Arabidopsis thaliana: one gene and its partners. The protein of the gene in region 3 purifies or fractionates together with the protein of the main gene of each other region. This does not show direct contact. Each region holds a gene or a part of one and is shown on either strand. Other genes may lie near its edges.

Region 1 (5,926 bases), about 12 Mb from region 3:
GACGGTTGTTTTATAGGGGAAGAAAATGATGTGGAAAGGATTTTGATTCCCGTTACGTCACATCAGCTTTTTTCAAAGCATATTATGGTCCATATATAAATCTTTTAAACAGTAAGCTTTTACCCGTAACGATTTAAAATGTATTTTGCAACTTTGTTAAATAATTGTCATATGTGTGCAACTAGTGAAAACATCACTTAATATAAAAGAGTGTGATTATCTTTTGCTCTGATTCAAACCTTAAACGTATATGTAAGAGATTAGAATGGAATTAGTACTTGACAATATAGAAATCGACTTGATTTATAAGAAGGTAACAAAATAAAAAGTTGATCGAGTGAAGTAATACTTTGCTTAGTTGCTGCATCAGTCTCTACTTTTGGCGTGGCCACCTACTCACAGTTGTTTGTATTATTATCTCTCAGTTAGGTGGGTGTACATTTACCACGTGATTCCCTTGATTTGATATCAAACATTACAATCCGGTACATACGAGGACAAGCTACTTACCATGCATGTACAAGAAATACGCATTTACACAAGGAGTGATAACAGCTATACTAATTTATTGAGAGAGTATTGCACTCTATTAAATATATCACATACACCATTATTTTTTCAATATCAGCATAAGATTTATAAATACATAATGCTTTATCTATGTTTATACTCTAAATTCTTTATATATATAAAGCCTTTGAAATAATATTTTAAAATTTACTAATCGATCCCAAAAATTACAGGATAGTTCTGTGTTAATATCGTTGTTGTAATCGTAAATCAAATTCAAATCCCATGAACTGTGCGGATCATAGTAATGTTATTTGATCTACCGAATTCAAATTCGGCAAGAAACACTAAACCCGTGGCTAATCTGATCATACCGACACTAATGATCACATCAACCACATAACTTCCAATTGACTACAATATGGAGTTATGGATGCCAATTTCAATTTGGGCTTATGGATGCCAATTTGGGCTTATTAGATCCAGACCGGCTTACCATTCTCGATGTTGGAGGTTTTAATCGCCAAACTGCACTATTGTCTTTTACAGCAACATTGGCGTGATAAGCTTGGTCAGGTAGAAGAGTCGTATTGGCGTAATTACATATCAAAGTAACAAATTAATAATCATTATAGATTAACGATCATTAATTAAACTCATAGTTACAATGCATAAAAACTAGGACAAGCCATTAAATCCAGAAAACACAGGAATCTGCTACAGCAAAGACATACATTCTCTACACTCAAACCACCTCACAGATGCTCTGCATTATTTAAGAAAGACAACACACGAAAGTAAAACAGAGAGCATCTTAAGTCCGAACCATATGACAAGAGAAACATATTTACTCAGGTACAAATTTCTTCCTGAGCTCAGAGACGAATTCAGTAACCTTCTCAGGATCAGGCAAGGACTTAGCCACGCTCTCCCTCTGCAAACACTTCTTAACCCAAGCAATCAGTTTCGGAACCTCAGATTCGATACTGAAGTTAGCAAACTTCTCGTATGCTGGAAACCATGTGTAGAATCCAATCAACGCAATGTCTACATAGCCAAAGTCATCGCCACTAAAGTAAGGTTTGTCTCCAAGCTCAGATTCAAGAGTCTTGAGTATCTCAATGAAATCCTTCTTCCCTGCCTCTTGTTCCTCACCCTTTGTCGCCCACACCTTCCTCTGAGCATCATACAGCTGAAACATTGCACAGAGTAACATAACACCAAGCTATGTCAGAACTCAGTCGAACCCAAACAAAGCTCAAAGATGATGTCTACAAAGCAAAACCAGTCCTAGAGACCCCCAAATTGCAAAAGAAACATATCATCAAACTATCTAAGATGAACCCAAACAAAGCTCAAAGATGATATCTACTAGCGAAACTAGTATGTAAAAACCTCAAATTGCACAAGTAACATAACATTAAACTATCTAAGAAGACAAACCCTGACTAGCTCAGAGATGAGTCCACAAGAAAAATCTGAAATTTGGAGGTGAGATCTCTAACCCTAACAACTACAAACTCAAGTAATATTATAACATCAGACAAACCCATACAAGCTCAAAGACGAGTCTACAAGCAAAACCCTAAATTTGAGCCAATCACTAGCAAACTCAACTAAAGTTTCAATTTTTATGAAATCCCAAGTTCAATTTCAACATTATTCAATCAAGGGCACAAAGGAAATAAGATACCTTCTTGTCAATGAAATCAGCCCAGAACCTAGCTTGAGCTCTCAGGTAAGGATCAGAAGGAAGGATAGGGTTCTTGTGAGACCAGACCTCGTCAATGTACTGAACCTGGATGATAGATTCGTTAACCGGTTTACCATTGTGGATGAGAACAGGAATCTTCTTGTGAATCGGATTCATCTGGAGAAGCAAAGGACTCTTGTTCCTTAGATCTTCTTCTCTGTACTCAAATTCAACACCTTTCTCCCTCAATGCGATCCTTGTCCTCATCCCGAACATACTCGGCCAGAAATCAAGAAGAATCACCTCGTTCGCCATTGTTACGATCGCTAAAGCTCACAAAGAGATTTTTTTTTGTAAGTGTTCGTCTTTCTCGATTTGTTTGGTTGGGACACTACCTGTAAGGGTTTAGGTAATTTATAGATGAGAATATTTATGATACAATAATGGATTGTGCTGACTCTAGTCGTTACGTCACACCACTCTTTAAAAACATGTGGCCAGATTTTAAAGCTTTTTAAAGTAATAATTTATAATTACAGTATTTTCTTTTTACGTAACATATCTTCATTCGCCTTTTTTTTATCTGTTGACCATTATAGTGTTTTATATAGTAACTTGCAAATATTCGTGTGGACTCTATGATTGAAAAAAGAAAAAAAATCGTCTGAAATCTATTATCATAGTAGCAAATTTGGATTTTGGATGTTAAAGGAAATTATGGATTTCAGTTGACCAGAAACCATAATGGATTTCTAAATCAAGATTTTAGATTTCTTAGCACTGCGTTTAATTATTTTAAAAGTTGATGGAAAAGATTATTTTGTTGTAAGAAAATAACTGGATGGATTAACACAGTTTTAAATTATGTGAACAATTAATTTGACTAATGAGTATTGACGTTTTATTTCGGCACAATGTATCATTACCTGATGAAAATATCATTTATTTATAGAAGAAATGATTCATATTGAAACTTAGTTGAAAAACGTGCAAAAAAATACAGAGGACTTAGAAAAGCGAGCCAAATTTCTAGAAAGCTGTGTAGGTTGAAGAGGTGGAAGATACGTTCACGTTACCAGAATTAACTGGAAATTTTCGAGATATTTCGATGGAACTGTAGAGATTGTGTTACGTCAATAATTGTATTTATACAATTGACGTGACCACATGATCTCGAGAAGCTTGGCGACATTGATCACGAAAGCGAGAGAAGATCCTGGTTCAGTATTGGTTCTATCTTATTTTTGTTTTGGTCATGGACTTATGGTGAATTGGGCCTATATTTTACAAAAAACAATGGATCTGAACCGGGCTTCGAAAAACAGTTTTTCTTATTTGAAAACCCATTAATAAAAACAAAATCATAAGAGCGAGCAAGAAAAAAATCATACCTGACCTTTCAGAACTCCTGTGGCCAAACAAAATGATCTTCTTATTTTTAAATTCTCTTATTTTTAATTCCAAAAGATATAAACTCGCGCCAAAAATTTATGTAACTGATGCTTTAGTATCTTTAACATAGCTAGATCTATTATAAACCTATAATAGACTAGTTAACAAATTTAGCCAAATTGGATATGTCACCAGAGAAAGCAAAATCAGCTACATTGGGTATTTATATTTCGTCGAGTAATATACGGGATTTTTTTCAGGCAGATAATGTGATCTATTCATTATAGACATATATGATTGTTTCATAAGAAGAAACTAGCTCAACATACTCATATCTGCGTTGGGTTCGATATCTCACGACACGTAGCAACATACTCATGTCATAACATGATACATCTTACAATATACACAAAATAGTTGACTAAAAAAAAGCACACACACATTAGGATAAGAAGATACTTAAATTGTTATTTTTCATTGATGATTTCGAATGTGTATCTGTATCTGGAAGTCTCTATAGTGTGTAGACTTTGATCTAGAAACATCGAATGGACCCTACGCACTGTATTACGTGGCATTTTAGTTTCAACCTACAAACTCGTTACTTGATTTTGTATATTCTAATGTTTTTGAGGCGTCAAATTCCGAGACATCAACGTATTTTTCGGCGAATATACTATTTAAAAGTCATGTACAAAAATACGTATGATCTTGATGAGATTTTCCCTAGTATGATTACATATTTGATAAAAACTATTTATTTAGAAAAAAGACACAGCAGTATGCACGTTATAAATCAAAAAATGGTCTTTTTCCATGTCAAAAAAAAAAGATAGTTCCCGGAAAAAAAGAGTGGCCATGAAGTGTATTACATGTTCAAAGATTAGAATCAATCGATTGGCTACTGTGAAATGCGAGTGCTTATGTATACGCTTACGTGTATGCACTTTAGAACCAATAAGAGTAGGATAAAAGATCACAAGTCAAAACTGTGAGATGTTTCCCGTTTGCTTAAAGTAGAAATCGCAACAACCTCAACGTAAATTCATGAATAAAATAAGCTGTCAACAAGTTAAACCCATAAATGCATCTTTTTGGTTTATAATTAAATTGCATAAATAAAGTTTTGACTTGTTTATTTTAATGAACTGAATTAGTTTGGACCTTTAAATTCTATTTCTAATGGTATTCCTAAGTAATATTTTATAAAATACAAGGTTAGTTTTTTTATGTAATTTCGAAATATAAGTATAGGGATATGGATTTCTTACTTTAAAAGAAGAAGAATAAAAAAACAATAATTCGTATTGTGGTAATTTCGTAATTTGTAATACCAATTATTGCAAGAAGAACAAAAAACGAACAGACGAAAAACGAGCAGATAAATAAAAGTTGTTGATAATTGTAAAAAAGACAAAGAACGATCAGAAAGATTAAAGTAGACCTCATTCCCAAAACAGAGATCACATGAGATATTTTCGGGTTTCCATTTTCGAAGGTCAAATTCCTTCTATAAGAAGCTTCTCTAGCTCTACACAGTTCATTCACATGCAGCTCACAGAGATATTTGGGGAAGCTTACATAATATAGAAAAGATATCAGCATAAACCTTCTAAGATAATCAAGTTTAGTGTGTCGACTATATTTAGCTATTTTTATAAGTAATGCATTTTTCTCATCGTTTATAACAATAACTCCACTTTAATCTACTTTAATAACCATCTTTAATAAATCAGTTTTGATCAAATCTATAAATTTTTATGCTAACAAATTCTGTGTGTAAATTAAAACTTTACTACAAAACTTTGTACACAGTTGGATCATTGGACACTTGATCATAGTATATACATAATACATAATCACAGTATATACGTATAACTAAAATTCAAGAAACTCGTTGCCGGGGACTAATGCATAACAATCCCTCAGGCAACAATCCTATGTCACTAATCACTATCACTCATATTAACATTTATAAGATCCTACAAAAATCTAAAACTAACACAAAGCTTGCTTCGATAAATCTTCCTTACTGATGAACGTTCCGTGGAAACCGTAAGGCACTCTCGACGGAAGCGTTACGGTAGCTTCAAGCTTCATATTAACGGCGTTTATGAGTTGGAGTTCCGATTTCACCTTCTCCTCGTCGTGAACGAACACCATTATGTAACCTCCGTCTTCTTCTCCGTCACCGGAAGGTAGAAACAGAGGCTCTCCTCCGTATTTCCCCTCTCCGTAAATATACTTTCGAATCTCTCCGGTCGATAAGTCCACTTTAGCGAAACCGGACACTTTAGGCCACGGTTCGGTTAAAGCCAGATAAGCATACCG
Region 2 (5,926 bases), 2.6 Mb from region 3:
GGACCAACTTTACAGTATACGATAGCCAACCACCACACAACGGAGCAAAACCTTCAAATGGCAAAGCCAGTCGCAGATTTGCATCAAAGCAGATAAGCCCTCAAGTTCCAGCAGGCAACTTTGAAGTCGGTCATGTTTCTTATAAATTCAACCTTTTGAAATCAAGAGGTCCAAGAAGAATGGTAAGCACACTCCGATGCCCATCACCATCACCTTCATCATCATCCGCTGGACTCTCGTCTGACCAAAAGCCATGTGATGTAACCAAGATAATGAAAAAACCCAACAAGGATGGTTCCAGCTTGACAATACTAAAGAACAAAGCTCCTAGATGGCACGAGCACTTGCAGTGCTGGTGTCTGAACTTCCATGGACGAGTTACTGTTGCTTCGGTCAAGAACTTTCAGCTGGTTGCGACCGTTGACCAAAGTCAACCGAGCGGTAAAGGCGATGAAGAAACAGTTCTTCTACAGTTTGGTAAAGTGGGAGATGACACTTTCACTATGGATTATAGACAGCCTCTCTCTGCATTTCAGGCTTTTGCTATCTGTCTCACAAGTTTCGGCACTAAACTTGCCTGCGAGTGAAACCCAACAAAAGGCAACAGAAAAGAAAAAGTGAACTGGCTTTGCAAAAATGTAATGTTTTGATGTAATCATGTGTAAGTGTAAACACAAAGGTATGTGGAAAGGAGAAGCACATAAGTATTATTATGTAAGAAACATTATTTAAAACCCATAATCATAATGTATCTCTTAAGTATACCCATGTGGTTTTCTTTTATTTTTGAATAGAATTTGGGACTTCACATTCCTTCAAAGTAGGACTTCAATGGTTTTTTGGAAACATGACTTATTTGCAAAATATATACAAAAACAATGAATAGCAAGACTTTTTTCTTTTTGTCAGCAATGAATAGCAAGACTTAAGTAACATATTTTTAATTTTTGGCTTATACACAAGAAAAAAGTCGCATATTTTTGGTTTGGAACTTGAGCCGGTTCGATGTCTGACAAGTCGATTTGAAAAACTTCTTTATAATTTTTTACTTTTCGGTTTTATATTCTTTTGTATTTTACAACTGGATCTTGTTTATATATATCAATATATGTGAAATGAGCGTACTAGTACTATTATTGGTGTGGAATACTTTCGCATGCCCTAGTCTTAACTCTTAAGGATAAGTAAGGGCAGGTTTCTCTTTGTTTTCCAAATTTATCGTTCAATATTTCTTAAATTAGGATATAATGTACAATTAATCGTTCATTTCTTTTAATTAGAACCGTAGTTTGTACACATCACTACATAGCCACACTATAGTAATTAAGTGAAGCCTCATCAGAAAAGGAAAACGATCTATAGATGAAAAAGTTAAATACCCAAGAGAAGTGATTTTCAGTTAAAAGTATAGTTTTTGCTAAAAATATTTATAACGGCATTAATCACGATACTCGCGTAAGTAGTATACTCTACCATATACTATCTTTTAGTGAGTCGGAAATATGTCATAAGCCATTACGCGACCATGCAATATTGCTTCCGTAAGCATCCGCACTAGTAAAGTGTCCAAATGGATGCCGTCAAAACAACAAAAGTGTTTTAAAAAAGAACCGAAACAAGTTTTCACACTTGGTCCTTAGCTTCTCAAACTCTTCTTCGTCCTGATAATGGACTTTAATTATCATGTTATACGTCAACCAAGTTATCAGCTAACCATCATCACTTTATTAAGTATATGCAGCCTTGTGCTCATAATATTCATTATATTATACTAAAAGTCTAATCATATGAAGAAAGGAAAAAAAAAAAAAGAGGCTTGTTTATGAAATTAAGGAGTGCACGTAAGGCCATATTTATAATTCTATTTCAGAAAATGTAAATTCAAACACGGCAAATATGTTAGTTTCATGGTGCATGCATGATGCATTTCCAACTGTTTCTTTTTTTGGGGATGAAAATGTATTTCCACCGGTTAATTAACGAAGCTTCTATTTCATGTTTCCGTTTTCTTTTACTTTTTTTTTTTGTTTTTACTTCATATATATCATTTGACAAAGTTAAGGCTTTAAAATGGCAGTAGTTTCTTAATTTGTTTTTAGATTTTGGATTTATGGTGTTTAGTTCTTAGTTTTTTTTTGCAGTAAATTTTTAGTTTTATATAAATGTATGTACCCAATACATATCACTATATATTTTATAGTCCAAAAGAATTTTATGTGATGGTGAAAAGAAAAAAATGTGTGATCATTCGCTGAAATTAATAAATTTTGCAGTATATTAAAGAAAACTAGAAAAGTGAGTACCTAATATTCCAACAATTAGACTGTATCACTCATGCCTGTCGTCTGTCGACTGTTGACTTGTGTTATAATAAAGACATTTCAAATTATCCGAATATTCCATTAGCACATATGAAGATATCCAATTTTTGAATAATTGGAGTCGACCAATGTAAAATATTCATAACGTGACATCACATCACATACATGTACGACTTTGTCACTTACCAAAAATGATCTAGTTATGATAATAACATCATCACATGAGTAAGAATGATAAGGCATGATCTAATCAGCATCATATACCGCTACTTTATTTACTATCACATTTTCGTTCACAAGAGTAATATTATATTTGATTTTATATATGTCTAAAAATTTATCGTAGACTGCCGATTTTAGATTTTGGGAGGTTAGAAGAACTAATAAAACCGAAAGAAATAGATGATGGTCGGTTAAATACTTAAGTCCTTTATAAGAAAGAAAAATTAAAAGTCAACTTTATCGCTGAAAGTGAAAGTTAGGTTGAAAGTTCAGAGATTTATTCATCAACTTCCGTGCATTGACACATGCTCTTCTCTACATTCGCTCACGTGAATTTTAGAACAACAAATTATTTTACAAACACTATAATCTTCCGGTAATTTAACCACAATAAAGAGATAAATAATCTTTATATTAAATCGATCGAATTCTAATTCTGTAGGTACTGTGAGTCAAACATGAAAGTGTAAATTTTCAAAATATGATTGGTGTTAACTTAGGTGAATCAATTTTTGATGTTTTTTTGTTGATTATATAAATCAAAATTACGGAAGAATGCATGTTGTTTACATAAGTGATATAATTAATTTTTTACTGATATATTAAAAATAAAAATATTTTATGTTATTGTTTTGGTTATTTTTTTGTTCCACAAAAATTAATTAATCATAATATTTCTTTCTTGACTATCACTAGATTCAATGAAAATCTCTCTTTTATACATAAATAAAAATCTTCTCAATGCATTAATAAATATATATAAATTGAGGAAAAAAAGAGATAGAAATCATGGAAAAAAAGGTTAAAAATTCCAACTATAAGCGAGCATCACATATAGAAATAGAATAATGTATAGGAATCCATCATGATCTCACTCTCTATATATAGGTAAGCCAAGTATCTTATTTTTGGTTATGTATCTCTGAAATCTGAATCTGACTGACTTCAAAGGACACAGCTTTTACTTCTATAACTGGTTAGCTTCTCCACACACACACACACTTGTTAGATTTACTTTTCCTCCGCACTATCAGCAGATTTTTCTCATCTGGGTCTGTTTGTTTCTGTTGACTCAAAGTTTCCGACTTTCTTATTTTCTGTCTCCGATTTCATCGCCGAAATCTCAGTCAATTTTGTCTTTAGATCTTTAATTTTTGGATCCCTTTAATTATTTTGTTTGGTCTTACTTCAGAGCGAAGCAGGTGAAAAAATGGCGAATCGGAAGTTAGAGAAGATGGCATCGATTGATGTTCATCTTCGTCAACTGGTTCCTGGCAAAGTTAGTGAAGACGACAAGCTTGTTGAGTATGATGCTTTGCTTCTAGATCGGTTTCTCGATATCCTCCAGGATTTGCACGGTGAAGATCTCCGTGAAACTGTACGTTTTCTCCATTTTGGATTTGACCCTTTTGCTATAAGATCCTGAAACTACATGCTCTGTTTTGAGTATTGACTAAAGGTTTCAACTTTTTTTGATTCGATCATGGATTAGATTAGTTAGGGTTTTGAAACGCAGGAAGATTTAAACTTTATGTTAGTTTTGAGATTAGTAGTTTCATGTGATCTAATTTTGATGATCTTATTGTGTGTGTTGTTGTATATAGGTTCAAGAGCTTTATGAGCATTCTGCAGAATACGAAGGGAAGCATGAACCTAAGAAGCTAGAGGAGCTAGGGAGTGTGCTAACGAGTTTAGATCCAGGAGATTCCATTGTTATCGCTAAAGCTTTCTCTCATATGCTTAACTTAGCCAATTTGGCTGAGGAAGTGCAGATTGCTTATCGCCGTAGGATCAAGAAGCTGAAGAAAGGTGATTTTGTTGATGAGAGCTCTGCTACTACTGAATCTGATCTTGAAGAAACTTTCAAGAAGCTTGTTGGAGATCTGAACAAGTCTCCTGAAGAGATCTTTGATGCTCTCAAGAATCAGACTGTGGATTTGGTTTTGACTGCTCATCCTACTCAGTCTGTGAGAAGATCATTGCTTCAGAAACATGGGAGGTTAGTCTTTGAGGCTTCACCGGGCTTGCTTTGGATCGATGTTTTGATGTTAAAGTTATCTACTTTGTGCGGTTTTTCAGGATAAGAGACTGTCTGGCTCAACTATATGCTAAGGATATTACTCCTGATGACAAGCAAGAGCTCGATGAGGCTCTTCAGAGAGAGGTAAAATCTTATTGGATTCTTCATATTTACATGATTTTGGAAACTAATGGAAAAAAAACTTGGGTTTTTGTTAGATTCAAGCTGCATTCCGAACAGATGAAATCAAAAGAACACCACCTACTCCTCAAGATGAGATGAGAGCGGGAATGAGTTATTTCCATGAAACTATCTGGAAAGGTGTTCCTAAGTTTCTGCGCCGTGTTGACACGGCTTTGAAAAACATAGGGATCGAAGAACGTGTTCCATATAATGCTCCATTGATTCAGTTCTCTTCTTGGATGGGTGGTGATCGTGACGGTACATTTCTACAAGTCCTTCTCGCATAGCTCTCTTATTGCGCTCCCTCTCTTAATGGTTTTACTCATGTCACAAACTCACAATATATGTGTATTTGCAGGTAACCCAAGGGTTACACCTGAAGTCACCAGAGATGTTTGCTTGTTAGCTAGAATGATGGCTGCTACTATGTACTTTAACCAAATCGAAGATCTTATGTTTGAGGTTTGATCTCGAGTTCTTTTTTTGAGTTTAGTCTCCTTACTTTCTTTTATTTATGTATCACCTCATTTCATGATTACTGCTTCTTTCATAGATGTCTATGTGGCGTTGCAATGACGAGCTGCGTGCGCGAGCTGATGAAGTTCATGCAAATTCGAGGAAAGATGCTGCAAAACATTACATAGGTAAGAAAAATAACCGATTTTGAGCATTTTGTTTATGTTTAAGCTATGTGTCTGGAACCGATTTAATTTGGAACCTATCATTCATTGTCTTGATTGCAGAATTCTGGAAGTCAATTCCTACAACTGAGCCATACCGTGTGATTCTTGGCGATGTAAGGGACAAGCTTTATCACACACGTGAACGCGCTCATCAACTGCTCAGCAATGGACACTCTGATGTCCCTGTAGAGGCTACTTTCATTAACTTGGAACAGGTATCATTGCAATTAGAATCTTTTAACTCCCGGTTATGATTTGGTACTAAACCACTCTCTCATGCTATTTGTGTAGTTCTTGGAACCTCTTGAGCTCTGTTACCGATCTCTGTGTTCATGTGGTGATCGTCCAATAGCAGATGGAAGCCTTCTTGATTTCTTGAGGCAAGTCTCAACCTTTGGGCTCTCTCTTGTGAGACTTGACATAAGGCAAGAATCTGACCGCCACACTGATGTATTGGATGCTATCACCACGCATTTAGATATCGGATCCTACAGAGA
Region 3 (5,926 bases):
TTTAGCCTTAAGGGTCTCTCTTTCTTGATTGGGTACAGCAACGACATTGGACATATTCGGAAGCTCTCCGAGAACAACTCTCTTCTTACTAACTGGGTTTTCGTCTAACGCCATGGACGACGCTTTTCGTTTCGCCGCCGCTCTCGTCATCCTCGCACAGTTCTGATTCTCCGCCATGGGGTTATTTCAGTGGGAAAGTGAGATTTGAGAAAAGGGGTAATGTACAAGGTAGGTAAAAGGAAATGGGTTGAGTAAAAGCGCCATTTTTGTTGGGGAAGTTTTGAGATTTTTAGGTCATGGCGCTTCTCTGTGTAAATTTTCCGATTTCGAAATTTTTAGGGATTTGACTTTTGAGTATCCAAAATTTGGGGCTTTTTTGCAGATTTCATTTCCACATTTATTTGGCGGCTGTTTTCTCCTTTTTACCCTTCAAAAAGTTTCACTCCTATATTTAGACAATCATTATTGTTTTATTCACTTAATTAAAGATGAAAATAACAATCAATGAATGCTTTTAATTAAGGAAATTATTAGTAGTTGATTTGTTTTTTTTTCGGTTTTGGTTAAGATTCGGAATTAAGTGAGATGCTTTTAAAAAATTTAAAAAAAAATCGGTTTTGCATTTGTTTTTTTTTTATACTTTTTTTGGGTTTAGTTTTACATTTTTGATTTTTTTTTGGATACAGAAAAATAAATCCACTAAACCATATGAAAATATTTTGTCTAAACAATAATAAAAAAAAATCATTGAACTAGGAATTCATTTAACACCATTTCCTATATAATTTTTTCGACAAATTCAGCTATTAATTTAACAAAAATAATTGACACCAACGGACACTTATCTTATATTAGAGTTGTCAAAATGGGTGTGCGGCCCGTGGGCTGCCTGCGTCCAATACTTAATGGACCGAGTCATGGATAAAGCCATTATAAAACGGGCTTTAATGGTTATAGTCGTTAACGGATATGAACTTTAGCAGAGTAGATATGATGGACATGGGCGGCCCAATAGTCTTATAATGTTAGGTTAAATCGATTTGAGGAAAAATCGAATATTAAAATGGACATTATTGGATTGGACAAAGGTGTTAATGGATACGGACTATGTTCGTCCAATATCAAAATAGACATTATTGGATTGGGCTAATGGACATGGACACCCCGATTTGACAACTCTATCTTATATGATCCGCCTATCTGTTATTATCTAATAAACGTATGTTGGAAATGACCAGACCAATTCTACCAAATAATCTTTCCAATAAGGGTTCACTTGTAGAAATTGCCTTTTTATTGACTTAAATGAACAATTTCTGTTTTGTTTTGTTTTTGTCAAGGATCATAGCAAGTCTAAAGGCTTATCTTGTCATGTCTTCCCATTCATCTGGTTTCGATACCATTTGAAGTAAATTATTGACTACTAAAGTTTTGGCCTTCTAGGAACTTATAAATTTTGTCATAGGAGGCTCAATGATTAAACAAATAAAATCATGTCACATAAAATACTTCTTATCATATTGCATAATCGTATAAATTTCCAGAGTAACACATTAATTTGTCACCACAATGTTAATCAAGTAATAACACAATACATCTTCACAACACAAATTATTTGCTCCTGCTTCACTTCGATACATATAACATATGACTCCTCTAGCTTCAACTGTTGATCAGTGTCCCTTAGTAATCGAGCTCAGTAACAATTGGGAAATGAAAGATTGGTTCTGATCAAATGGTAACAACATCCTCCCAAAAGGTAACCGGAAGCTCTTGGTAGACAGGAATTGCCGCAACGTATTGGAACTGTACCATAAAAAGCAACATTTAAGTATAAATGATACTACTAATTAAATCAAATGATTTCATAATTTGTAATATGTCAATTACCTTATGTTGCTTGTATTTCTCTCTAACAGCTTTTGAAGCACCTTCACTTCTGCTCAGGTACAAGTCAAGCATGATCTCCACACACACTTGTAGATCAGCCGCTTTGTACTTTGTGCATTCTTCCAACATTTGACTCTGTTTTACATTACAAGCCATAGATTATTAGTGTCTCATTCAAAAGATTAACTCAACATATAAACCTGAAAAAGAGAGATTGAGACAAAAGTTCTTACCCAAGGATGTTGGTTAGGAAGGATGATGAATCGAGCGAGAAAGACAGCAGAAGCAGCCAACAAAGATGGAACAAACTTCACACAACTATAATCTAACATACTTAGTTCTGACAGATAGCAACAAAGAGGCTCTAGCTGCAAGTTTGGCACTTTGAAATCTTCTTGTGCAACCCTTATGAACCGTCTGCACAAACACAACAAAAGATGAGAACAAAGAACCATAAGATACAACCAAAAGTCAGTATTATTCATCACAATTCTAACCTTAGAAAAGTATTTGTCGTAGGCCTTCCTAGTTCAAACTCAAGCGCGAGAAGTATATCCTCTTCCATCTTCAACACATCTTGTTTCGTATAAGTATTAGCCGTAATGTAACAAAAATCCTCCACTTTAGGGCGACGTTTCTCTTCATACTTCCTATTTATATCAAATGCCAAAAAAGAGAAGCCACTCCATATGTAAGTTTCAACATGACAATGAATAGCAAAGAGAGTAATACAAGAGGATCAAAAACACTTACGAAGCGATAAACATTGCAGAAACTCCCACAAGCTGAAGCCAGTGCTCGTTAACCATCTTTAATGACAAGAATCTATCAATGTAAGAGACAGTGAGATAGAGTGTTTCAGACACGAGTTCGAACTCTTCAGCAACTTCCACTAACCAATCTACCAAAACACCTCTCTTGCTTGGTGTTATATCTTCTTGAATCTTTTCAATGTAATCATGTAAAGGTCTTAGCTTTGGCTTCACCTGAATATTCACCAAACCAAAAACACAAATCTTCAGAACATATCCACAAATTCTAAGTCCAAACAGAGAACAATCATAGAAACTCTTCAGATAAAGTATACTAAATTGACCTATTGAAACTTGTCAATGTTCTAAGTCCAAAAACAGAGCAAGTAGGAGATCTTATTACGTACCTCTAATTCACGGAGATACTCGTAGATATCTGAGACATAAAGTCCACACATCTGTGGATCATCAGACCTAGCGTCAATGTCAGAGCCTGATTGAATGTTCTCTTGAAACGCAAGTAGCTTATGTCGAATTTCCGCCCACTCTACCGGGGAAGCATCTTGAGGGTTATGGTCGGAATGAATCTGTTTATCTTTCTTAGACACCATATTTATCGAAAAACAAGAACACATCTTCGAAAGAACAACAATAAATCTTACACTAAGTCCTATATATAGAGTAGAAGACTCTATCCTAAAACAACCAGGTTTCAGAATTCAGATGAGAGATGAGACAGACTAAAAAAAAAAGGAAAATTAAACCAAAGCCCAAAACAATAACTTGTTGAACACGAAATCCCAAGTAATTAAAAAAAGGAAATTAAAAAAAAAATCGTTCCAAAACGTGTTAATTTAGAGAAATTACCTTTTTTTACTTGATTAAAAATCTCAAAAAGTAATTACATATAATTATCTTTTTTTAATCTAAAACTTGTAATTTTACTTTGGAGAAAATTGTAAAGTAGAACCCTAATTATAATTTCGATTTGATTTGCTTATTCCGCTGAGTTAGGCCTAAACGAGAACGCTACAACTTGTGAAGTTTTTGATTTTGCAACCAACACTTGGAGGTACGTTGTCCTGCATCCCCTTATCTGGTTTCTCACACCCAAGATCCTGTGTATGTTGATGGCTCACTTCACTGGTTCACACGAGGGTGAAAGTTGAAACCATGGTTTTGTCTTTGGATCTTCACACCGAAACTTTTCAAGTCATCGCTAAAGCTCCCTTGTTTCTTGTTTCTCAAGTTTAATCTCTCTTTAGTAAACTTGATTATCAATCTCATAGACAATCTTTTCTTTTCTTTTGTTTCTTGAGATTTTCATTAGTTTCTTTAAATTAACAACAATGTCTTCTAGAGTTTTAGCCCTCTAGGAATTTTCATTAAGTATAAACATACAGTAGTAGGCTCAATGCTTAAACAAAATAAGATCATGTCACATAAATACTTATATCATATTGCATAATTGTATAAAATTATATTATTCCGAATTTCACACTAAAATTTTGTAAATAAAAAAGAAGAGATTTCAATAATACATCACACATCTTCACATAACGCAGACTTATTTGCTCCTGCCTTCACTTCTATATTTCTTACTCTTCTAGCTTCACTTGAAGATCTGTGTCCATTATACTATTTGAAACAAGATTCGGTAATCCAGCTCCGTAACATTTGCTTAAGATAGCATAACCTCAGATCAAATGGTAACATCCTCCCAAAAGGTAACCGGCAGCTCTGGTGAAACAGGCATGGTCGCAACGCATTGGAACTGTACCGAGAAGAAGCAACATTAAGTATCAAGAAAGCTCTGCTTATTCAAATGATTTTATCAATGTGTAATGTTTAAGTACCTTATGGTGCTTATATTTCTCTCTAACAGCTTGTAAAGCACCTCCTCTTCTGCTCAAATACAAGTCATGTATGATTCCAACACACACTTGTAGATCAGCCGCTTTGTACTTTGTGTACTCTTCTAACATTTGGTTCTGTTTACATATTCACAACCATAAATCATTAGTGTCTCATTCTAAACAATGACCACAGCAGACTAAAACCTGAAAGAGACTGAGACAAATATGCTTACCCAAGGATGTTGTTTCGGACGGATGATGAACCGAGCGAGAAAAACAGCAGAAGCAGCCAACAGAGACGGCACAAACTTCACAGTCTTATAATCTAATATACTCAATTCTGACAAATAGCAACAAAGAGGCTCTAGCTGCAAATGTGGAACTTTGAAATCGTCTTGTGCAACTCTAGTAAACCGTCTACACAAACACCAACACACAAAATCAGAACAATGAAACTAAGACAAACCAATAAGTAATCATCACCAATACACACAAATCTAACCTCATAAAAGTATTAATCGTTGGTCTTCCCAACTCAAACTGAAGAGCAAGAAGTATATCAGCTTCCATCTTCACAACATCTTGTTTCGAAAACGTATTATCCGTAATGTAACAAAAATCATCCACTTTAGGAGGACTTATCTCTTCATACTTCCTACAACATTTCAATACTTCCATTAGCTTCCATACATAAACAATGACAACAAACACAAGAGAGGAAGAATCATAAAACACTTACGAAGCAATAAGCATAGCAGAAACTCCAACAAGCTGTAGCTTTTGCTTGTTAACAGTCTTTAAAGACAAGAATCTATCAATATGTGAGACAGTGAGATAAAGTGTTTCAGATCCAAGTTTATACTCTTCAGCAACTTCCACTAACCAATCAACCAAAACACCTCTCATACTTGGTGTTACATCTTTCTGAACTTTCTCTATGTAATCTGGTAAAGGTCTCTGCTTTGGCTTCACCTGAATTCACCAAATCCAATTCAGATCCAATTCAAGAACTAAGTAAATGATTCTAAATCCAAAACACAAGATCATTATTACCTCAAGTTGACGAAGATACTCATAGATATCAGCAACATAAGGTCCACACATTTGAGGATCATCAGATCGAGAATCAATGTCAGATTTTGATTCTAGGTCAATAATAGCCACCGGAGCTGACTTAATCTGTTTCGCCGGAGGAGGTTTAAGATTCCTTTTTGGCTTCTGGGTTTCTTTCTTCTGATTGAGATTAGCCAAGAGATTGACATTGGAGACGTTTAGAAGCTCACCGAGAACAACTCTCTTCTTGTTGACCCGATCTCCGTCAATACCCATCGCCGTCGAAGCTTTTCGTTTCGCCGCCGCTCTTGTAACCCTCACGCAGATCTCTTGCTCTGTCATGATTGAGATGAGATTGAAGAGAGAGCGAGAGAG

The links.
Region 1: the proteins of CYCA3;3 (region 3) and GSTU19 purify together in Arabidopsis thaliana (affinity purification with mass spectrometry, with the first as the bait; one large-scale study listed by BioGRID). This does not show direct contact.
Region 2: the proteins of CYCA3;3 (region 3) and PPC1 purify together in Arabidopsis thaliana (affinity purification with mass spectrometry, with the first as the bait; one large-scale study listed by BioGRID). This does not show direct contact.

The regions. Positions count from the first base shown.
Region 1 is NC_003070.9:29,485,302-29,491,227, forward strand, and holds GSTU19 (glutathione S-transferase TAU 19), read right to left. Parts: upstream 2,707-5,926; 5' UTR 2,519-2,706; coding exon 2,204-2,518; intron 1,703-2,203; coding exon 1,358-1,702; 3' UTR 1,086-1,357; downstream 1-1,085. Other genes in the region: NCED9 (nine-cis-epoxycarotenoid dioxygenase 9), read right to left, coding at 5,594-5,926. UniProt on the Arabidopsis thaliana protein: Catalyzes the glutathionylation of 12-oxophytodienoate (OPDA). In vitro, possesses glutathione S-transferase activity toward 1-chloro-2,4-dinitrobenzene (CDNB) and benzyl isothiocyanate (BITC), and glutathione peroxidase activity toward cumene hydroperoxide.
Region 2 is NC_003070.9:19,885,898-19,891,823, reverse strand, and holds the start of PPC1 (phosphoenolpyruvate carboxylase 1), read left to right. Parts: upstream 1-3,410; 5' UTR 3,411-3,519; exon of another isoform or gene 3,520-3,735; 5' UTR 3,736-3,753; coding exon 3,754-3,921; intron 3,922-4,147; coding exon 4,148-4,542; intron 4,543-4,622; coding exon 4,623-4,707; intron 4,708-4,781; coding exon 4,782-5,004; intron 5,005-5,104; coding exon 5,105-5,208; intron 5,209-5,299; coding exon 5,300-5,390; intron 5,391-5,489; coding exon 5,490-5,644; intron 5,645-5,720; coding exon 5,721-5,926. Other genes in the region: TLP7 (tubby like protein 7), read left to right, coding at 1-587. UniProt on the Arabidopsis thaliana protein: Through the carboxylation of phosphoenolpyruvate (PEP) it forms oxaloacetate, a four-carbon dicarboxylic acid source for the tricarboxylic acid cycle. Contributes probably to the adaptation to inorganic phosphate (Pi) deprivation.
Region 3 is NC_003070.9:17,301,003-17,306,928, reverse strand, and holds CYCA3;3 (Cyclin A3;3), read right to left. Parts: upstream 3,254-5,926; coding exon 3,050-3,253; intron 2,877-3,049; coding exon 2,644-2,876; intron 2,541-2,643; coding exon 2,388-2,540; intron 2,308-2,387; coding exon 2,124-2,307; intron 2,026-2,123; coding exon 1,891-2,025; intron 1,807-1,890; coding exon 1,732-1,806; downstream 1-1,731. Other genes in the region: CYCA3;4 (CYCLIN A3;4), read right to left, coding at 1-177; CYCA3;2 (cyclin-dependent protein kinase 3;2), read right to left, coding at 4,345-4,416, 4,499-4,633, 4,732-4,915, 5,001-5,153, 5,238-5,470, 5,552-5,893.